3 linked regions of the Styela clava genome follow. Each later gene encodes a partner of the first gene's protein in a complex. Links are inferred from orthologs where the notes say so. Each region holds a gene or a part of one and is shown on either strand. Other genes may lie near its edges. The genes, in order: transcription initiation factor TFIID subunit 5-like, TATA-box-binding protein-like and transcription initiation factor TFIID subunit 1-like.

The links.
Region 2: transcription initiation factor TFIID subunit 5-like (region 1) and TATA-box-binding protein-like share a complex: the UniProt entries of both Caenorhabditis elegans proteins name them as parts of the TFIID basal transcription factor complex. The link is inferred for Styela clava from reciprocal best matches to the Caenorhabditis elegans genes taf-5 and tbp-1.
Region 3: transcription initiation factor TFIID subunit 5-like (region 1) and transcription initiation factor TFIID subunit 1-like share a complex: the UniProt entries of both Caenorhabditis elegans proteins name them as parts of the TFIID basal transcription factor complex. The link is inferred for Styela clava from reciprocal best matches to the Caenorhabditis elegans genes taf-5 and taf-1.

Annotation. Positions count from the first base shown.
Region 1 is NC_135258.1:9,324,813-9,332,689, forward strand, and holds the start of transcription initiation factor TFIID subunit 5-like, read right to left. Parts: upstream 3,050-7,877; 5' UTR 2,909-3,049; coding exon 2,704-2,908; intron 1,808-2,703; coding exon 1,696-1,807; intron 706-1,695; coding exon 559-705; intron 40-558; coding exon 1-39. Other genes in the region: protein MAK16 homolog, read left to right, coding at 3,378-3,392, 3,481-3,530, 3,618-3,736, 3,814-4,030, 4,722-4,776, 4,854-5,027, 5,104-5,151, 5,674-5,820; TELO2-interacting protein 2-like, read right to left, coding at 5,899-5,988, 6,072-6,243, 6,450-6,620, 7,149-7,370, 7,446-7,649. UniProt on the Caenorhabditis elegans protein: The TFIID basal transcription factor complex plays a major role in the initiation of RNA polymerase II (Pol II)-dependent transcription.
Region 2 is NC_135253.1:12,137,303-12,145,405, forward strand, and holds the start of TATA-box-binding protein-like, read right to left. Parts: upstream 3,039-8,103; 5' UTR 2,912-3,038; coding exon 2,789-2,911; intron 2,517-2,788; coding exon 2,378-2,516; intron 1,814-2,377; coding exon 1,686-1,813; intron 1,524-1,685; coding exon 1,396-1,523; intron 1,223-1,395; coding exon 1,135-1,222; intron 976-1,134; coding exon 716-975; intron 219-715; coding exon 124-218; intron 40-123; coding exon 1-39. UniProt on the Caenorhabditis elegans protein: The TFIID basal transcription factor complex plays a major role in the initiation of RNA polymerase II (Pol II)-dependent transcription.
Region 3 is NC_135257.1:9,180,728-9,188,414, reverse strand, and holds the start of transcription initiation factor TFIID subunit 1-like, read right to left. Parts: upstream 3,099-7,687; 5' UTR 2,916-3,098; intron 1-2,915. Other genes in the region: rho-associated protein kinase 2-like, read left to right, coding at 3,159-3,240, 3,490-3,650, 4,164-4,417, 6,957-7,041, 7,542-7,655. UniProt on the Caenorhabditis elegans protein: The TFIID basal transcription factor complex plays a major role in the initiation of RNA polymerase II (Pol II)-dependent transcription.

The sequences.
Region 1 (7,877 bases):
TTGATTAAATCTTCTTCATGAAAATCTTCTAATTCTCCACTAAAGAATAAGGAAAGGAATTTTTTAATTAACCCCGAGAAAAATTTCTCAATTGTAGAACTTCTGCTTTGTCGAATTTCCTAACAGTGCAGACTTGAAGTGTTTCATGTTTCTAATTAACTTGGTATTTTAAGTCACAGGAAGAAATATATATCTTTCTATTGTATGTTTGAAGTAGAGATTCTTCTATCATATTCTTTATTTTTATTTCACAGCCTCTTTCTGAGTAAAGTGGAGAAGTTGCAAAAATAATGCATTTAATTGTGATTTATGAAAAGGAAATAATTCTAAATTACTACGTTCATTTCTCCTAACATCTTAGTGACCCCCAAAAAAATTTATCAACTGGAAAATAGCTTGAAACAAATTGTATCACTCCAAGTTCACATTATATTTGAGCAATTTTTATAAAAGTATTCTAGGATCAAAAACTGCATTCACTTCAATTGAATCAAAAATTAAAAAGTGGTCATATCTACTATAAACATGATTGACCGTCTATACAACTTGCTTAATCACCTGTATTGTAGAAAAAATAACTTTGCCTTTTCCGCATGATTATTGTATAAGAGTTCTAGATACATATGAACAAATACTGGATATAATACTTGAGCTAATTCCCATTTATGTGAGTCCAAATTTGATTCGATGAACTGCTTTAACATTCTACAAATATAAGAGGATAGAATCTCATAGACAATAACAAATAATTCACTCTTTCGAATACATTCAAAATTATTATTTTTGAATATGCAATATTGAATTTATTCGAAAATAAAACCAAGCAATAGAAGCTTTTCTTAGGAGGAATTTGCAAAACAGTGGAATAACTGTCATCTACAACTGTCATCAATCTGGCTATTTATGACACATTTTATGTCCGCAGATTGCTGTCAGAGTGGTAATGCTTCTATTTTTTCGTAAGAGTCGAGTTATTTTATTTGTCACTTCAAAAAACAATCAATCAAGAACAAAAATTTGTCATAAATAAATATTGAAATGACAAGTGCTGTGAAGGACGGAATGATCCGGCATCGAGTCTACAACACCTTAAAAAGATAAAAAAAATAAATGAATAGAAGAAACAAATAAAAAGAGTAGTAATAGTATCAAAAGTATGTAAATAAGAATAAGTATGAAAGTCCAAATCAAAAATTATTTATCACAATTTCTGAAATGACAATGACATAGAATCAAATCTTTGATTGGTTGTTATCTTCCGTGCGAGCGTGAGCCGCATATTGTTGCCAGCATTGCCACCATTCCCTTGCAAAGCTCCTAATTTACGCATTCATTTTTTCCTTTACTTTGAAAAATTGAAACACCTGACACCCACTCAAGTTTAGTCAATGACTCGAGTCAAGCAATCAATCAAATCGCTCAGAAAAAGCACAATAAAATCAAAATAAGAGATCTGTATATAGTCAGTCATGTCTTTGCTTGGAAGGGACAGAATAACCGTGAAATGACTATTCGATCTACTTGTCAACGGCAACCTTGCAATATGAATAAATTCTAAGAATATAAAATTACCACAAAATAAACGGGTTCATGCGAAGCTCTCCAACACGAAGCCCAAGTACGAGGAGCGAGTTGGGTGTATAGAGTTAAGAATCTAAATAAGTATATCCTATATGTTTTTTTTGATTATTTTACCTATAACTATCTTGGTAACTTGAAGGATCAGCTTGATTGGAATAAGTGGAAAGTAGTGATGAAACATCAGATGTACTAAAATTTTTGCTATCAGATGGAAGTCCGTCAGAACCTGAAAAACAAGTAAAGTTAAATAAATCAAATTTATTAACCCTTTCCGTGCGGTAGGCACGTATACGTACCAACGACAAAAGTCGCTAGATTGCGGCGGGTACGTTGATGTACTCCACTGTTTTATTTAGCAATCGGTCGCAAACTGTTGGTCTAGTTTTTCCGGATTTTAGTTTATTGATAAGAAGTCATCTTCGAGATTAACATAAGCAGTGGTAAATCTCGCTTTCGTTTACGACGGGAATTTTATTTGCGGCGGAACGAGGGAGTGTTTTTGAAATTTATGCAAATTTTGGTGTTTTTTGGATGGTAATAGAAGACATATTATCCCTTCCATCTACCAAAGTATTTTGAGTTAGATCACGAAATTGCTACAGCAATATTATGCTATTGTTTGCCAACCACGAAGCGGTAACAGTAAAGGATTTAGCGAATATTTCTATTTTTTATCACGGTTTGAATTTTCAACTCCCAAGAAAAAAAAATGCCTTTTTTCTATCCGGTTTGTGACTCAGACCACCCCTTTTAAAAAAAATTTTTAATCGCCAATTGCAAGCTCTTTAAATAAGCTTTCCAACGAGCCGTCAGTGGGCAGCAGAGAATCATTACTTTTTCGTTAGTCGATCGATTAGTTGTGGGGGTGCAAATGCATAAAGTCGGCGTAGCAAATACGATTATTTAATAAAAAATAAAAATCGCATGGAAAATTACATCTTACAAAATTAAGGCATTGTCTAGCAATTTCTCATTTTTGTGATGTCATCTTTTTTACAAATATTTATTTTATCGTTTGTTATGTTGATTATGGAGTCGAAATAAACTTATACTTATTCAAATATCCAGCAAGTGGTATTGGATTTCAGCATTTTACTAGCGATAATCTACATATTTTGTTACCTGTAAGTTTTGAAGACTCCTTTTCCAGCATAGCTGCCGTTGTTCCCAAGTTATTTTTCTTCAAAAACTGAAGAACAGCTAAAAGTGTTTTCTGATTTTCATTTGTTGGGGTCTCAGTAACCTTAGTTTCATTCGTGGTAGAAATGCATTCCGTGACTTCCATTTTAACAGGTAACGCGGGCACATTTGCAAATACAGATTCCATTATATCCGTTTTCTGTATACAAACCCGTATAGCTGTCCATACAAACTAGAAACGAAGCAATAAACCAATCGGATTGTAAACCCTAAACAACGCTATTCATTCATCAAACGCGAAATACAGAATCAGAGCGCAAAACACCGGAGGTTATCTTTTGTGGCACCGTAATCGCGTCACAGGCATTTTAAGGTAACAAGGTAACAAAAAAAAATCAAAATAGAATGAAAGATTTTTAAATTAATTAGTATTTTTTAAATAAAAAAACTTAATAAATTTTGCGCATGTAAATCATGTTATCTGCAATTTCCTTATTTTTGAAATCATGAAAGACGCTAAAACGATACCAGTGGCATAAAATTATGACGCCTTAGTCAACACATGTTGGGTATATCATTATTTATAATGTGGGTCGCCACAACTTCGATTTGATTGCAATTTTGTGAGACTTTGATCGAGTTGACGTTGGTGGAAGATGCAACACGACGATGTAAGTAATTTATTTTTCTTCAGTCACCCTAATGCCTTCAATAATCTTACAATCTACGACATGACAATCTATTGAACGTTTTTTACAGGTTATTTGGGATGTCATTGGAAACAAGCAATTTTGCTCCTATAAAGCAAAGTAAGTGTGTTTTCTGTCTAATGAATACCACCCTTCATTTCCATCAGTATGTTCAGAACAGCTTCATTTTATAATATCTTTTTTCAGAGCAATCACATCAAAAACACAAAGATTTTGTAAAAATGAATATAATTTGACGGGACTTTGCAACAGGGGCTCATGCCCGTTGGCTAACAGCCAGTATGCTACTATAAAAGAAGAGAAAGGTTTGTAATGTAGTATTTTCACATTTCCTATAATAGCCTTATGTTGTAATAATAAATATTTTAAAATGTTACTCTAGGTGTTTGTTATCTTTATATGAAGACAATTGAAAGAGCAGCTTTTCCTGGAAGATTATGGGAAAAAGTAAAGCTATCAAGAAACTATGAAAAAGCATTGGAACAAATTGATGAAAATTTAGTATATTGGCCGTACTTTTTAAGACATAAGTGTAAACAACGCTTCACAAAGATATATCAATATTTGATCAGAATTCGAAAGTTAACTTTACGAAGGCAGTAAGTATATTTATTGTAGCTCAATAAATATTTCCCAATCAATATTTTACAAAATCAAATAATATATTTAATAAGTGTTACTGCATCGCATGAAGTTTAATTATTGACCAAACAGTCAAATTGAGGGCTTGATGGTCAGGCAATATTAGGGGAAACTCAACCTAAGCGAGTCTTCTTCAATCATCTACCATAGAAATAAGTCAACACTCTTAAAGTAAACAGCCCGAATTGAGTATTAATGATATTGAATAGAAAAAAATCATACATGTTTGAAGAAGCGTAGTTCTTACCACTTCATGGCAGCTCCTGCCACGAATGTACTGCGGCGTCTCTTGCCATGGTTTTATGGCGCTATTACCTGTATATTTACAAAGTCATGTACAATATTTTAGTTTATCATGCGGAAATATAACTACTTGAACCTAAACCTAACCCCAAATACATCAAAACTGTATTCATAAATAAAGCGTTTCAACTTACCCAACATTTACATGCCGTGGTTCAGCAGCAAAATTGGTGGTATTCGATTTGCTGCCGTATCCACGGCAGCTTGCTATTGGTTTGTGGCAGCTAAAAAGTCAGTAGCGCTATTGGTCATAGCGGCTATGGATTTGCGACAGCTCTAGACGCCACAAAATACTTGAAACTGCACTTGTGTTTTAAAGGATAAATCTGTTTTTAATATTTTCAGGAAAAAATTAGTGCCTTTGAGTCGGAAAGTAGAACGAAGAGAAGCAAGGCGGGAAGTATGACTAATTTATTATTGAATTCACTTACCAAGAAAAATTCTGTTAAACTAATCATTTTTATTTCATCTTTTCAGCAAAAAGCGTTAGTTGCTGCACAATTGGAGAATGCAATAGAAAAAGAATTATTGGAAAGATTAAAGCAAGGAACGTATGGAGATATTTATAATGTATCAGTCACTGCATTTGATAGAGCTTTACAAAAAGATGAAGCCGAGTCTGAGAGTGAAGACGAGGAAGAAACTCAGGCGGTAATGTTTGTTCAAAAATGAAACTTTTGCTCTGGTATTTCCTGAGTAATCTAAATTTGAGTTATTTTCATCACAGGAGGTGGAATATGTAGCTGATGACGAAGTGGATGAAAGTGATCTAGAGGTGAGATTTATTTATATCTGTCTATTTTGTAATCAGTAACAATGAATACATGAAGTTTCGTTTAATTTCTACCTACCCTAAATTTTCAGGACTAAATATGCCTTTCCCGGCGTTGCAAAGATGTGCTTTGGCGTTAGTTAGCTCTATAGATTTTCGTATCTTTTGATGAAATAAAGCCACTCAATACATACACTAACTTTCCAAAAGTCAGGCCATGTTGGCCTCAATTGAATTTATGCTTGCCTGTCTGTAATTCTACCTTTATGGTTTCTGACATGCTATACTACTATATGATGAAATAATCAGTGTCTTGCATATGTATATGAAAATGTCTATAAGTTGCTTGTAACTGCACGAATCTATTTATCTTTGATGTTCAAGAATTCGGATCAGTGTTGTATATGTATATTCCACTAATAATTTTCTAGCTTATGCCAAAATAAATTGCTAACAGTAAGCTAGAATATGATTGAGATTAGCAAAAATTCATGGACATGATTCTTGATATCATTCTTTCATCAGGATATTGAAGATCTGACATCAGAAGGAGAGTCTGAAGAGGAAACCGAGAAGGAAACAAAATCTGCATCGAAAAGAAAACATTTAGAAATAGAATATGAAACTGAACCCAGTACAAGTAAAACTAAAAGAGAGGCACTAACTTTTTGAAACACGGATTATGACAATGCTCAAAATGTGCAACTATTCCCAATGTGATGAAATACCATCTCCACGATATAGACTGGACTAAGCAGAGGTGGCAATCAGTTGTTGGATTTTTTTGCCATATTGACTTAACGCCAGATCTGTTTCAGCTTCTAACATCTGTGCAGTCTCCTGTTTGCATAAATGATCAATATGGTATATTAAAAAAAGTGCGAGAAATTATGATTCATTTGATCCTGAAATCATGGACCTACCAGGATAAGTTCTTTAGAAAGCATTGAAAGTTTCATCGTTGTGTCAATGATGGCATTCACGATTTTCTTTTTCCCATTTTCATTGCATCCTTTCCACCTCCAATCATCATTTTCCAGGTTATAAAGTGCTCTTATTAGAAATCTTAACATTGCTTCACAGTGATGTTCTAGTCTAAGAGAATGACAAATTGTATTAGAATGATAAAGACTAGTAGTACAGGATAGTTTTTGAATATACCTATCATCAATATAGCAGAATAATAATTGATTTTAATCTTGCGTTTAAATAGCATACATTCTCCCCCTACATTCTCTTTCATATACTTGCAAGCAGGTAAATGTAGTCCTATGATATTCGATCAGTAAGACTTCACTCACCTTGGCCATGCGGCATCAACCATTTTTGAAATTACGTCAATGCAGCTCAACATTGTTTGAATATCGGTACTTTCTATTCCGTAATCCAGAACAATTATAATTTTCTTAATATGACCAATACTTTGAATTCCCATTCTTGATACAAAGAAAGGCAGTGCAGAGGAATAAACTCTGGAAGGTACAGAAGATGTTTCGAATTACCAGGTCAGCCGTAGCTGTTTAATAGATGCAGACAACAAATATCATCCAATGCTAAAAGCTAAAAATATTTGGCATATAAAGTTTGAGAAGTGACTTTCCCTGTTACTAGAACTTTCAAAAGAGATGAAAATTCTAATTTTTTGTCAACCCAATAATTTCAGGTGTACTAGGGTATTTAACTGCAGGTACTTTCTTCTTGTTTACTTTCTATTACGGATCTGTACCAGGATGCGTGACTGAGATAGTATTATGAAGATAAATAAAAATAACTTAATCTTCTTCCACGAAGCAATATCTTGTGTTATCTGAAGAAGTTAGACTGTGATCTAACTAACGAAAGCTCATAAATATACTTGATATTTTGTGGAAAGAAATTATGTTATTTTTATTTAGCAATAATTTCACCCATGATCTAATCATAATGTAATTGAGGACTAAATGTTTATTAAAAATTCATCCTTATCAATGGTTTTATTTCGTAAATCAAATATAATTCACCTTTTCACTAAATTGTCACTCGACAAATGAAAGTTATTCAGAACAATTTCAAAGCACTCATCATGCCTTGGAATACTGCATCCACGCTTCCGCATCATTTCAGATTCTAAGCAATCCAGAGATTGCATAATACACGAAATCAGAACTTTGGAGACGTCAGAATCTCTGGTATACAACTTTTTCACCAAGGCATCATGAATCACTTCTGCTCTCCCTCTGAACCTGAATGATTTCAACGCAGTAGTCGTTAACTTATATATTCTAAGCATTGGCTATTTCCGTCTGTATCTTACCCACCTTATTTCAGCTGGGGGGACTTCATGTAAAATGTGCTTCATACACTTTAGTCCCATTATTGTGTTTTTCGGAACAAAATCATCTACCATCAGTAATGTGAATGGAATGAACATGTCAAGATTTTCTGTTAGAATGTCTCCATTTGCCCTCAGCAGAAGATAAATGAAGAGTGATTTGGCAGCAGTGGACTCTTTCCATTGTTCCCTTCAAAAAATGTGAAATTTAATGATGTTCTGCATGAAACACCACATAAAATGAAGTCTAATTGGTGTAGTATATAGTAGTCATCAAAATCTTATAATAGTATCTGTAAAGATCACTTCATATTCCTAGCTTTTAATATAAAATTGCGGAGAATGAAGTAGATCAAGTCGAGTAATTAGTTGAACAACATTTGCATCCACTCATCATTTAATATTGATTCAATTTCTG
Region 2 (8,103 bases), on another chromosome or scaffold:
TGTTGAAAGCTTCCTCTATCTCTGATCTCACTTTTGCACCTGAAGAGAATAGTTTAATTTTAAAATAATCCCTAGAATATGTTATATGATTAAAAGATAACTTGTAGTATGGGAAACACTCACCAGTGAGTACAACTTTGCCAGATACGAAGATTAGAAGTACAATGCGAGGTTTCACCATTCTGTAGATCAGCCCAGGAAAGAGTTCAGGCTCATAGCTGTAAAATGAAATTCTATGTTCAAGTGCCCAGATTCCACGATGTATGTGTTAACTTATGTAACATTCCTAGAAGGTTTTCATAAATTATAGAAAGTATAGGCCAGTGCTACTCAACTGGCGGTCCGAAGATTCGGACCGCGACGAATTCTTTATTTTGGATCATGAGCCCCACTATTGAAGTTTTCCTTTTATAATATCACTTTTCATAGATTTAAATATATATGAAAAGAACTATAATGCCATAATAAATATTCTTGATTAGCTAATAATCATTAGTCGGTCGAGGAAGTGCGGGTTTAATAAGGATGCCCAAATATTTTTGAAGTTTTGTATGCCGATTCTCGGTAAAAATAGTTGAGTAGCCCTGGTATAGGCTACTGATTGTAACCATTTTCAAACGTTCACAACTTGGCAGATCTACAATTTCCAATGCATATATAAAGAAAGATAGGTCTCTAAAATGAAAAATTCCATCAGATTCATTTAAGTACCAACCTTGAGAATTGTCCGTGTGTTAGTACAAGGCCTTCCAATCGAATTGGAAACTTCACATCAACACTTCCTACCATGTTTTGTATTCGAAAATCTAAAAATTTTGCTGGAAAACCCAGTTTCTGTACAACTCTCGCATATTTTCTGGCAGCTAATCTTGAATTAGTTTCACTTTTAGCTCCTGTGCACACCATCTTGCCAGAACTGAATATTAAAGCAGTTGTCCGCGGATCACGAATTCGCATAATTACTGCAGCAAATCGCTAAAAATACATATTTACATTATTTTGGAATTTTTGTCAGCTTACTGGTAGGTAAGTTGTATAGCTAAACAACCGACCATAATAGAAGAACTACAGGTAATCATGTTTTATATCAGTATCAAAGATGCTTTGGGCTAAATAAAATAAGTGAACCCTTACCTTTGGGTTATATTCAGCATTTCTAGCATGTAAGGCAATTTTCTTGAGATCCAACTTACATCCTAGATTTACAGTTGACACAATATTTCTGAAAAGTAAGAAAAATAATAACATCACCTATCATGTTTGAGTCTTTATTTTTTTTTTTGCAAGTCCACATGAAATATATTTTACATCATTACTACATGTATCAAATATTCCACAGAATTTCTTCCAAAGTAATTTAACATATGACACAGAACAATCAAACCATATACTTACTGTAACATTGGTGGTCCGACCCCAGAATCTGCAGGAGTTCGAGGAGTCATTGGTGTTGCTACATTCACACTCAAGGGATAACCAGGAGTGTTCGCATGATAATTACTCAATGCGCTAGGAGTGGGGACCTGTTCAAAATAAAGGAAATATAAAACAAATCATTTCGATATGGTCTGCCCTATTGTCAAAATAATACCATTGGGTTTGATGGAAGAAAAAAATATACTCATCATAAGACACAAGTAATGGTAAGTAAAGACCTGATTTTCTGTAACATACATGTGACATACTTGGAGATTGGATAAAGGTGCTGGACTCATTGCAACTGATGTTCTGTGCTGTTGAGCATCTGATCGTTCATCTTCGTTCTGACGATGTGACCTTTGACTTTCCAAAGTAACAAAGTGTTGATTGGATGCTAATGAAAGGAATGATATCAATCGTTACTCCTTGATGCCTTATAATACAAATACCACAATTAGTTTTACAATAGCTTGCAGGAACATGGTCTATTACAGACGAACAAATAGTGAAGGCCAATTGATACAAGGAGAGAGGATTTTATTACTCATACATCAAAAAATGGTGAAAATTCAATTTTGGTATAGCAATACTGCCTTTGTGAAATCAAAATAAATGAATACCCAGGCATAGAAGCATAAGGTAAGGTTACACTAGCAAAAATATGGTATTGTGGGTCCCACATTATCTGGGGATATAAAACACAACTGTACACCTAAAAACAAGACACGACATATGCTATTACAAGCAAGGAAATTGCAAATTATTGCAAGGAACCTATTGCAGTTCATTTTGCAAGGTAAGTAGACTATGCCACTTTATGGCCGACTAGGATTAGCAATCATACATTGAAATTCAGATATTTGATCATTCAATTAGCCATCGCATATAAAGCAATCAAATCGGAGGCATGTGAAAAAACGAAGTGTACAGTTGGAGCACAATATTAGACTTAACAAACCTCCAGGTTGTGTATTTTGTTGATGCGATGGAGCTCCATACATTGGATGGCTTCCATACATTCCTCTTGGTGGCTGTTGGTGATGACTCACAGCGTTATATCCACTTGGATTTGGCAAACTTAATCCAGAACTTCCAGCCTGAATATAAAGCAAAATACATGTCTAATTTGGTAAGCAATTACTGAATCTGACAGTGACTTGCCCTGGAATATCCATTCTTGATAGAACAATAGCCTAAATACAGACGGTACTGAAATATCAACCAGTTCTGCAGTTAGGCTATATCTACGTATTCACCAATAGTTATAATGAATTTATAGATATTGTTCATTGGCAAGTAGACAAAGCAGTACAATAATGGTATTGCAAACCTTCACCAGGTAAGGATGTAAATTCAGTGATTCACTTACCTGATTTTGTGATAATTGTGGATTTGCCTGAGAAATCAAAGGCCGTTGTTGTCCACTAACACTCCTTTGTTGTAATATTCCTCCATGTGGAATAGTGCCTGGAATGACTCGCTGTGGATTCATCGTAAGGCAGTAAAAATTCAGGAAGTTAGGAAACACCGCCTTTCGAACTCAAGCAAGAGTAGTGACCTACACAGTCACAAACAACGAAGATACGAACAGCGACGACGTCAAAAATGAATGACAGCGCCCCAAGCGGAGTGAAATAATATCATTCAACTTTTTTATTGCGTCATTTCCTTTATTTTTCATAGTGATATTAAATTCCAATTTATTAAAAATAATATGTAAAAATTAAAATGATATATAAGTTTATGTATTATTCAAAATTTCTCGATAGCTAATGCGTACTGTATAGATTGAGACTAAACAAACTTTTTGAACAAAATTTTTTTACCTCCAACAGTTTTGTTTCACACAAAGCTTCTAAATACTACACGCGCACACTTAATAAACAATTGAATACGTGTTAATTTTAAAATAAAATCAGTCAGCATGCATTGATAGCTTAATAGTGTTTGAGAGCTAAAGTGGTTTACAGGTTCAAAGCATTATTTTTAGTAAAATAGTTAGCCATGTGCCGTGTATGGGAACTGAAAGCAAATTATAGCCTTGTGCCCCAGTCTATCGCAGTTTTTTCGTCATAGGCCGCGAGCCGAGGCCATTTATCTTTCAGTTTCGTAGCGCACATCAGGTAACTACCTGAAAATGATTTTAAAATGTTCCTTAGAAATTTAGTAACAAATATTGCCTTGTTCCCACTTCCAAAAGTTGCACGTTTTACAGAAAAGACGCTTTTACTACAATAAATATGTGTTACCATCTGTCCTATTTTCTCTGCTTTTCCGGTATCATGGGCCAATGAACGCAGACTTCTGCACGACGTAACAGTCAAGTTAGTCAGCTGTAGGTGGAGACCCAGTGGTCGGATGAATATCAGATGTACTACAACTGCTCGCTTTTGCGTTGAGTACGGTAGCCTTTCTATAGTTTTTTTCAGTTACCGGTAATATTAGTTCAGTTATTCTAAGGAGGTGTTGAAAAGTATAGGTAAGATATTAAACACTTGTATATCCTTACCATAACAAGCAATTTCAGTTGAGCACTAGCTCATAAGACGTTGTTAAATAGGTACGGTGCGGTAACTCCAAGGAAGGCTAGACCTAGAATAATATGTCACAAACAACGATATTTTCTGGCTTGCATGAAATGTTTATGATTAATTTAATGACTCTTTTTGACTATTCAGCAGACTTATACTACTATATAGGCCACAGCATATTTGGAAATAGAAATGAATGGCTGTTTCTGTAATGCACGGTTGTGTGAAAGAGAAGAAATTAATCAATTTTCCTAATGTCGGTTGGTCTAAATCTAAATTCATAGAGTCGACAAGAACCTGGGAAGCAATGATAAGTTATGCCGGAGTGGAAAGAAAGGTAGCATTGGAAACGATTGAGAGGTGAGAAATCAAGTTGTAGACAAACAGTTGATGTTTCAAAATATAGTCTATAGTCCATACTCATACTGTCATAGGACATTTCAGACTGTGATATATCAAAATTTAGTGTAGATATAGTCTAGTAATGGTATGCAAACACTGCTGGACTGTAGTACATGCAATGAGCATATACCGGTATACGCTCATTTAGTACATCAGATAAAATGCATTATATATTCAAGGTATTAGTTAGTACCGTATTTAGGGGTATTTTTAAAATCATGCTGCTCCAAATATTATTTTCTTCCTTATTTTAGATACTGTACTACAAAAGAAAACGGCAATGTTCCACCAATCCGACCTAACGCAGGCTCTGATCCCTGCTGCTATCAGTGCTATAAAATGGATTAAACAAGAAGCCTTGAAGCTTAAAGGTATATGAGAATCATAATAGTTGCAAACAGCTTAGATGGGCTATTCATATTGAAATACTTTAGCACTTTTCTGCAATTGGAACTGCCCATCAAATTCATGTTGGAGACTTCATTGAGATTTTCAATTCATTTATTTCCCTCGACTATGAAGATCTTTTGAGGTTAACGAGGCATTAATAAATAAAGCTGAGGAATTTGAAGAGGATATGAAGAATGTAAATGATACCAGGGCACGTCTATTTAACACTGTCAAACATAAGGATTATACTCTCCACCCAACAATGATTCACTGAAGAAGCATGTGGCCCTCAAATCAGTTCTTGAGTTGGCAAACTGCAAAGAAAAATAGTCAAAATAATTTATGAAAGTGTGCCAAAATCAACTTAAATTGCACAGATTTTTGTTTTTGTTTTGACTGCAGAAATCACAGTACACCTATAGAGGAAAAGTCGATTTTTGAGATAGTGGATTTCGAAAACAATTCAGAAGAAAGTGAATTAGATATTACAGTTGATTTAATAAGTATCATACTCATACATTTGTTTGTTTTTTCGGACATTTGTTAGTGTCGTAGTCCTGTTTCTAGAAATATTATTGCCTTTTCAAATACATAACCACATAAACTAAAAAAGATTAATTGTGAATTGTAATATTTCTGTTCACTATGTTATGTACATATTGTACATTCGTTTAATTTTCTTGACTTGCGGTAAATTTCTAAGTGAGAAATAACTGATTTATTTGTGTTTTCGTGCTCACGATGTTAATTTGTGACTTCATTGCTAAAAAATAAATAGGTTTGATAGCTTCTATAAAATGGATGTAGCTTTTCATGCTGTTCTTGTTGTAAACTGCTTGTGGTTATTACATAAAATTTATTCGCAAATGTGAATCAGCGTTGTTGGTGTCGCTGCTTTCGAGGTCACTCCCGACTCCTGTCACACAATTAAAGTATTTTTTGTTGTTGGTTACATGTATGCCATATTTTTCGTAATCTACCTAATAAATTATGATTGACTGAGGAAGTCCGATTTTGGTCAGGCAAAACATTACAGGAATACATTTGTGTTAGTGTGCTGTAGGGCTCTCGAATTGTATAGTTCTTATGTATGTGTTGTAAACTTATGGTTATTGAATTTCCGGGAACCTCTTATATTCAATTTCGCACCAGGATTGTGGAACAAGCTGTAATGCGTTCATTATGTTCGTTTTCACACAAAACTGAAGAATTTATTTAGTTACCAGATGTGCGCTACGAAACTCATTTTCTGGGCGTTTTCATGGTTTCGTCTCACGGCCCATATCCGTGGTAAGGATCTACAAGTGTTTAATAACTTACTTATACATTTTTCAACAACGTCTTAGCATAACTTAACTAATAATAACTAAACAGGGCTATGGAAAGGCTGCCCAACTCAGCGCAAGGTCGAGCAGTAATACCTAATATTCATCCACTCGCTAACAGCTGGTTTAATTCAATTGTTACGTCTTGCAGAAGTCATTGTTCCTTGCCGATAATGTAGAGAATATAGGACAGATCGTAGCACATATTTCTTGTAGTAAAAGCTTCTTTTCCGTAAAACGTGCAACTTTTGGAAGTGGGAACAAGGCAATATTTGTTACTAAATTTTTAAGGAACATTTTAAAATCATTTTCAGGTAGTTACCTGATGTGCGCTACGAAACTCACTTTCTAGGCGTTTTTCAGGGCCTCGGCTCGCGGCCTATCACTGATTTTTGATTATTGTTACTAAAATGAAGCTTATCGGAAGACATAATGAAAAATAAAATATTTGATATACTACTATTTAGGGAAACCGACAAAAAATACAACCTACTACAACAGTGGTACCCCGAAAATAAAATCTAGTCTGAATTAGTCAACAACGCAATCTCTGGCTATATACGGTACTCGTGACCTAGCCGGACTTGTATAATGATTCTAACATATAATGACAACCAATTATTATTGAATTACTATTTTTTGTTCTGTGCTTCAAATATTTATAGTGTGACATTATTTGTGAAAGAAAAACTCTCTCTCTCTCTCCTACACAATATTATTAGGTTAACTATGATATTACGACGTCAAATAAATTTTAAAGCGCATATGACGTCAATGTGGAGGGGGAATAAATGAAATGGTAGTGGCCAAGCACCCCGATATGGTGGATGTGCGTAATGAAAATGACTGTGGTTGCAATTCCATAATAATTCAATCCAGTAATTCCATAATAATTGGTTGTCAGGATGCCAGAAATAAACACTCAAAAAATACGCGAATGTAATAAACTTACGGGCTGTTGTATTCTTATGAAATACTCAAGCTAATAAGGACCAATTTATTCTGATACAATGACAACGTGTGTAGGTGTATTGTAATGTGATAAGGTGACGAGAAGCGTCAAAAACCGTGAAAACTACATTGATTTGGCATTGGTGAAAATGTGATACAGAGAATCAAGACACATACAAACAAATCAAAGCAATGCTGGTAAATTCTGCGCTCAGCGGCTCAGGCAATTATAAAAACAACAAAAGAGCAGCGCCCAAATATATGGACACATCTGTTCGCAGTACAGTACGGTTTACCGTACCGTCAGATCACAGTCTACAACAAGAGAGCTGTGCTCAAATATATGGACACGTAGCGCCACCTAATGGCAATAATTTTGATGGCGTCTTAGCAAAAAAAGAGTAATAGCCTTCTGAGGAAAATTTTTATCTTTAACCACTGAAAATTTCAAAGCAATTGGTCTAGTAATCAAAAAGAAAAGCGATTTCTTCAAAACGTGTCAAAGAACAACACAAGAGAGCTATGCTCAAATATATGGGCACGTAGCGCCACCCAATGGCGATAATTTTAATGACGTCATAGCGAAAAAAAAATAAAAGCCTTCTGGAGAAAAATTTTATCTTCAACCACTGAAAATTTCAAAGCAATTGGTCCAGTATTCGAAGAGAAAGGCGATTTTTTAAAAATGATGGAGACAAATAACAATAACAACATAATATTGAAACGATCGTTATGTCTACTAAACGTGTCCAAAATTATATTCACATAAAGCGAAGCAGTACAGTAGGACACAAAATGGCGTCCGATGACCACAGAACGTTCGGTGACGTCTTAGCAAACATAAACAAATGTCACGGAGCTAACAGAAATATTTGAAATAAATAAAAGTAATAGATTTCTGGAGAAAAATTTCATCTTTAACCACCAAAAATTTCAAAGCAATTGGTCCAGTGATCAACTAGGTGTCCGAAAAGTGTTGAACAACAAAAAAAACAAGATAACAACAAAACGATCGTTATGTCCACTAAACGTGTCCGATTACCGTATCAGTGGTACCGTATATTGCGAGCATAAATCTCTCTCTT
Region 3 (7,687 bases), on another chromosome or scaffold:
ACATAGGGAAAGGATACTTTGAGTTACAAACTTCAGATTTACTTCATGTAAATAAGCATAGAAAACTCACGATTACGTGTCAATTTGGTGAAACAAGCAAACATATCCTGGTACCCACCACAGTCCACAACAGTATTGTTTTTGTGATTTGACCAATAGCAGTATAGGGAATTATGCTCATGCATGCCATTTGAAAAGTTTTGTATTCTCAAATACCCTCCAAGTTTGTTCGCAATGTTAATTGTACTTCTATTCATATTCTCCATTTTATTATTATTTATTGTTACCTCTAGTTGAAAGTTCACAGCAGTTTGTTTTGTACAGAGTTTTACCATTCCTCCTTTGTGCCATAATTAACCAAATAAAACAAAGTTTAATTGGCCTACTTTGCTTTGTAGGAACTTAGCATGAGTAAATGTGGCATGTATTTTTGTAGACTATTATATCAGACTGCATTTTAAGGTTTTGGTATTCAGCACAGAATCAAAAATTTATTGCATTCAAAAACAACATTTCTTTTTAAGTGCTTAATCATTGAAGTTTTGATTGATAATTGATGGGTATTCACACAAAGGCATCTCGAATTGATGCCAATGATTAAGTGTGTGTAGGTTTATAGTATATCATTGAAAATTGATTTAATTTGGAATATGTCAATTTGGGGATTAATGGTTGTTATAATCTTCAACTGAGTGTTCCAATGGAGATTACCTATACAGTGGAATTCTTGATGCATCTGATTTTATAATAATGAGTTTTATGAATTATTTGCTTCTCAATTGACTATGTGTTGATGAGACACTAAAGTACATTGTTTTTTACTGGAAATAAGTAAATTTTCTAAAAAATAAAAGAAATAAATATCATTTAAAATAATGCATAGATTCATTGAAATGATGATATTCATGCTATTTTGCAAATACAGAATCAACAAACATACATATTTTAGCTTTTATTATAACATTCCACAAAAACCAAATAGTAAGAAGTCTGGTATTTGTTGTGTTATATACAATAAAAAGGTACAACACTATATAATGCTATTCTTACCAAGACCATTATGACAGTATTCAGCACGGTTTATCTATTAATATTGGCTGTAGACTTATTTGACTTTCGACTACATGTATTTATTCAAGCATATAAGGCACACAATTACGTCATTGTCCAGCTTTACTACAGGTGATGAATTGAGTGCTCATGTCATACTAAATTATGCAGTGAGATCAAATTCCACAATCAATTCTTTGTAATTTTATGGTGTTAATCAGAATAATTTAGTTGTCCTTAGGCTCAGAACTTGGGCTTTGTTTCAATTTTTATTTCAAATTTTGAACCGTGAATTTTTAAAATGCCAAATGAAAATTTTTGTTATAAATGTAATATGGAGCATGAGATTGAACCCGGTTTTACTACATAGTTGATAGTAATTGGTAACAATATAGCTATAAATCCTAAAATATTTCAAGGCTTTTTCATTTAAAATAAGTGACTCTGCCAAATAAAACTACCTGATACTGGTATACTGATGATTTTTCCAATTATTCAAATGTTAATTTTTGATTGTAAAGTTGTTTCGGTATGCCTTCCTTTGACAAGATATAGCTGATACAACAAGACTTATATTTTTTCAATCCTATTTTGGACTAAATAATTGGTATATGTTTAGCTGGCTATAGGTCATTGAAACTGCATTCTTATATTAATTTCTCTAGTTTAGTTTTATTTTTCAAATTCAATTATTCATATTTCATACAATAAAGTATTAACCTAACATTGGATAATTTGTATTAAATAAAACAGTTTGTATACCAGTTGAACTATGGTAGTTTGTTTGATAGTTCTTCCAGTTTCTTATTCAAAAAAGGAATTATTAGTATTGTTTTCTATTATAAACAAAGTCACAATTATAATGAATTATTAATGCAATGTAAGCCATACATTTTATCTTTCAATTTGATGTTGAGACCTTCTTTATGACTTAGGAACTGCTATGATACTTTACTATGGAGTTTATATAATGACCAACAGTAACATATTCAAAAAAATATTATGGATTATACTTTCTAACCACAAGCTAGGGTTATTATAATATATTTATTGCACTGAAACGACAGTTAGTTTAATACATTTTCTAAATTATTTTAACCTGTTTGTGGTATTCATGCACACCTGTTAACAACTTGTTGTTGTTCAATGGCAATGTAAATATATGCTTGTATCATTATACTTCTTTCTTTTTGAAGTTTGCGTTTTTGCCCGTTTTGAGCCACTTTATTTCAACTTGAGATCCTGTATTTATATATATATATATATATATATATGTTTTAGAAATAGTATTAAAAAACCTTCTAGATCAGAGCTTTTGACACACAAAATAGTAATACTTTACAAACTTATTTTAAAAATAGTATGTTGTGGTTTGTCTTTTTTTTTACATGGTTCTACTATAAATACCAGTAATAATTATCTGATTAAGCCTTAAAATAAACAACCACTTTTCTGAATATAGGCTACATAACGTGTCAATCCTATCAAAAATGAAATCGCTGAAAATTTCAGTATAAATGTTACAGAATTTGTCGATAATTTTCTGGTTTTAGCTTAAATGATCCATGGTTTGGCATGGTATCAAATCAGTATTATGCTTGTAGTTGAAACTTACAATATATTATCTTACTATATCTTAATATATTATACTTCTGTGCTATAGTTTTTTCTTGTGGGATTGTCTTTCTCTTTATATAAGTGAATTTGCATAGTTTTCTGTGGAGTTTGCTGTTTCTCATTGTTGAAGGTCTGATTAACTGGTATTTTACACATAACCAAATTCTTGTAAATACAAAATTCACATAAGAAGCATAACCAACTGGGTTTAATTCAGTTTTAACTATTGAAAGTAATCATCACACAACCTTAATACAACCAAATTCTCCAATCAGCTAGATGGAAAAACAACATTATACACAATGCAAAAAATGGTATGCACTATTGCCTATTGGTAGTAAATATTGTGCAACAACACGATAATCCAAGTCAAACTATTTTAGGCAAAATGCCATATGACAAATTCACTAACGTAGTCAACTGGATATTTTATCTCCTATACTGATAATTGTATTTGATATTCATTCTAATTTTTCAATTTGTTTTCATAGGATGGCATCGTTGCATTGGTTACGGATCTAGACACTCCTGCTTTGAGAAGGAACAAGAATGTGGAAAATTTTTTAAATAGATGTAAGTATTTAATTCAACTAATCATTTAGTTATGAGCATTAGATCCGTTTGGAAAACTTTGATCCAACTTTGACAAAATAAATGCTGAATAAAAAGACTATCCTTTTCAGCAATCTGTTATGAATATATTTTCCATAAATGTCAAGTTCTGTATAAATGAGTCAAGTGTCTTATTCTCATTTGTATTGCTTTGCGGATGAGAGTACAAAGTGAGAGTCATTTCAACAAAAAAAACTTTTATATTTCCAGACGCACATCCTGTTAAGAAAATTTATGAAATAAGGATGAGAGCTTCTGATTTCACAGTAGTTAAGACAATCGGTCGAGGAGCTTTTGGTGAAGTTCAACTCGTTCGTTACAAACCCACTTCTAAAGTTTATGCCATGAAGTTATTGAGCAAATTTGAAATGGTGAGTTGTGTCATTGGTGAAGTTATTCAAGAACGCATGTCGATAATGGAGTTTGTTAAATTATACCCTTGTTTGTTTTTGATCAGTCTTATTCATGGATAATTATAAAACACTTGAAAAATATGGAAACAATTGTGTTTAAATACAATGTATATCCTACTATTGCTTTGCGGTATATTTATTTCTTAATAATAAAATCTTCATTTGGTAAAATATGTTTATTCAAGTGACATGAACCTTACCACATAAAATATTGGCATTGTTATCATGGAAAGTACTTGGCAACACAATTGTTATGACTGCTCTGATTATCATGTTGAACCACACATTCTAATTTTAGCTTACTATATTTGAGAAAGTTTCGCAGTTTTATCGGCATTTCGTGTCCAAATTGTGTGTGAATTGTGTTTGTGTGTAAATATGACATTCTTCCACTTTGGTTTTATCTAAATTTATGGACAATCATCTATATAATTTTTTGTTTCGGTATATTCCTTTTATAATGCTCCATAGATCAAAAGATCAGAATCTGCTTTCTTCTGGGAGGAAAGAGACATTATGGCACACGCCAACACGGATTGGATCGTGCGTTTGCAGTATTCATTTCAAGACAATAAATACCTCTATATGGTAATGGAGTTTATGCCTGGTGGAGATCTGGTCAATCTCATGTCTAATTATGATGTGCCTGAACAATGGGCAAAATTTTACACAGCTGAAGTCGTTCTTGCCCTTGAATCAATACACAATATGGGATTCATTCACAGGCAAGTTATCTAACTAATTAAGCTTTTTTTTACTGACGACTCATAACGGAGAGAGTCTATATTCATATTGTCTATTTCATATTCACTTGACTAACACAGACAGTCCCAGACTCGTAATAGAACTAAAATAAGGAAAATCGGAATAAAATTATTAAGGCATAGCCTTAATCTGGTACACACACTACAGGAGTACCCGTTTTTTTCTGATATTTCCGCATAAAAACTTTACGAATTGATTCTTGTATATATATATTTTATATATATTAGACTTGTGCAACACCTATCCCCCTTTAATACCACACATCAGAATGTTTTCATACATTTTGCTGTATTTAATTCACCTGATGTGATATGGCATATGGGAGTATGTTTTTTTTAAATAACAAACTTGAATATACTTTACTGAAGGAAAATGTTATCAAATATTCTGCAACTTCATCGATAGTAACATTCTCCACTATTCCAAATTGTTCTTAGGGTGGTATTGGTGAAATTTAGCCAACTCTGGTATTTCTAATACAACATTTTTGTGATTTGAATAGGGAATATCACATCCTATGGATAAACTGTCTTTAAAGTTCGGTCTATAACTTTTTTTTAAATGTTCTATTTGTATTTTATATTACCAGTATTTATTTTTAGTCATCAGGTTAGCAGTGATATAACAAATCATTTTTGTTTCATGCAATCTCATTTTTGAATCATATGGTAAAGGAGGGACTCTGAATATAATATACTATAATCTGTTATTTATATTTAATACCATTCATAATGTACCGGTAGTTCAATTGTGTAATATATAATTTTTTAAAAACATTCGTTATTGAAGACCAGTCGACAATCACAAACATTGTAGTTTATTATAAAATTTATTATTTGTTTTAGTCACTTGAGTACATTTATTAAAACAAAATTGTACAATAGATATTGCCAGTTGAAAAACTGGCCAGTTTTCTGTTTCATTCAATATTGATGACTTCTCCACTGTTGTGGCTAACATAAAGCTGCTGATTATTTAGTCCATCGTGCCCGATATTGTATATTGCATGTATAATAAATAGTCTTGTTACAACGTTGTGTGTCCTATGGGAAGTTTATACGTATTACTGCATGACGTAATCCAACTTTCAAATCATTATGATATTTTATTGCGATATGGAACCATAATATTGGTAATTAAAAGTATTGGGTATGGTGGAAATTGCCTATTAATAGATCTAAGGCTCATATTAAGGGTTCTTTGACAGTTGTTTCCATAAAACCCAATTCCGGGCATTTATTTGGTGATGTAGAGAGTTCATGAAGCCTGTATTAAAATAGGTAAAAGAACTTTAACATGCTCCGTGCAAATGATGGTCGGCATAAATAAAGGTGTATAAAATAGTAAGTTAAAAAACTAAATAACTGATTGAAATAAAACAAACCTGGTTAATAAGATATATTAAGAACTGACTTCATACCACTATTTTGAAATTGTAACCGGAATTTATGAACACTCATCATAGCTTGGCTTGGCACATTGCCAATAATAATCAATCTTTAAGTCAAATCATGCTTCATAAATATAATGTTCTGGATTGTGTCAGGAAATATATAATTCAAAAACGTGAAATAGTTTTTGTATATACTTATTAGGATAACTTAAATTACGAAATTAATTAGTTTGATTGTATTCAGACTGCATTATGATATTATCAATAATATTTTATTTATAATTTGTTCTTCTTAATGTGATGTGAATTTACTAATTAGCAACTATCTGCTTTTCTGATAGAAATTGTCAATATTCAACCGTGAACTACAAATAGACTCATACCAGATGTGTTGTTCAATATTGTCCTATTGTTAGTTATATATCTTGTGATATAATTACATTCCAAGTACAATTCAAGTTATTTCATGCTTGTACTTACGGTGGCTAAATTAAAATAATTCAACTTTTCTAAATACACTTCGTACTAATATTTTGGAATATAAAGTATTGTGACATTCTAAATTGGGTCATTTTCAAGAGAGGCATAAATCAATAAAAATTTATAGTAAATGAACGATGAATTTAGTTTTGTTAAAAATAAATTAATCGTTGTTATTATTGATTTTCTGTTTTTGCCTTGCCTGATTTAAGTGAAATCTATTTTTTTTATCTTGATCATCAGATAGTACTTGATTAAAATGACAAATAAAACTGACCTAAATTTTCTTATATTACTAAATTGAATGCATACAATCTTGAATGTATTCGATTTATTGTGGATTATAATGCTTATTAGTTTATGGAACTTGTCCTATTATCTTGTTTCATTGTCAGCAAATTGATCACCAATAAGCAAAAATTTTACAAATTTAAAATATTTGTGTTTGTGGTTGGTATGCTGTCATCCATACAATTATTTCAGTAAATGAAGGAAAAACAGTTTTTATTGTTAATTGGATTGCATGGTAACTTTTTATATTTGTCTATAAATCTAGCACTCAATATGTATCCTTAATTAACCACGTTTCTTTTGGTAATAAATTTACTTACTTTTTTATTCAACAGGGATGTAAAACCTGACAATATGTTACTGGATGCTCAAGGACATTTAAAACTTGCTGATTTTGGAACTTGCATGAGTATGGACAAGGTAAATGAATAATTACTATTCAAACACCTGCAGTAAATTGAATTCTTTATTGGAATTAGGGATATTTGTGTCTGCATAGTTGTTTATTTTAAAATTTTGTTCAGAATATCAATTTTGAATATTCTTAATGAATCGAATTTGGCAAAAAATGAGTGATATGAACTTTGATTTTCCAGCAAAAGTATAATTCAAATATTTTTTTATTTGGAATTTTTTACTAATTTTATTATAACTAAATTCTTGAAACATCTTCACTAACAGCTATTGTCAATTTTTATGCAAGTAATTGTTTGTGAAACTACCCCAGTCTTACTTCAAATGTTTCCTAGTGAAAAGGTGAACTAACCTGTAATGATGAAATAATTGAATCATAAATTTCAATGATTTCAGTCTCTCAATGATCATTATTTATTTTATCTTTATTCATCAAATATCTTCAGTTGAAATATTAGAGTACATCAATATTGTGTTATGACTAGTCCCTTATTTTTGTTTTCTAGGAGGGCATGGTGCGTTCTGACACAGCCGTTGGCACTCCTGATTATATTTCACCTGAAGTATTGCAATCACAAGGTGGTAAAGGTTACTATGGTCGTGAATGCGATTGGTGGTCGGTAAGTGATTGCACGATTGACCCGGATTCTTG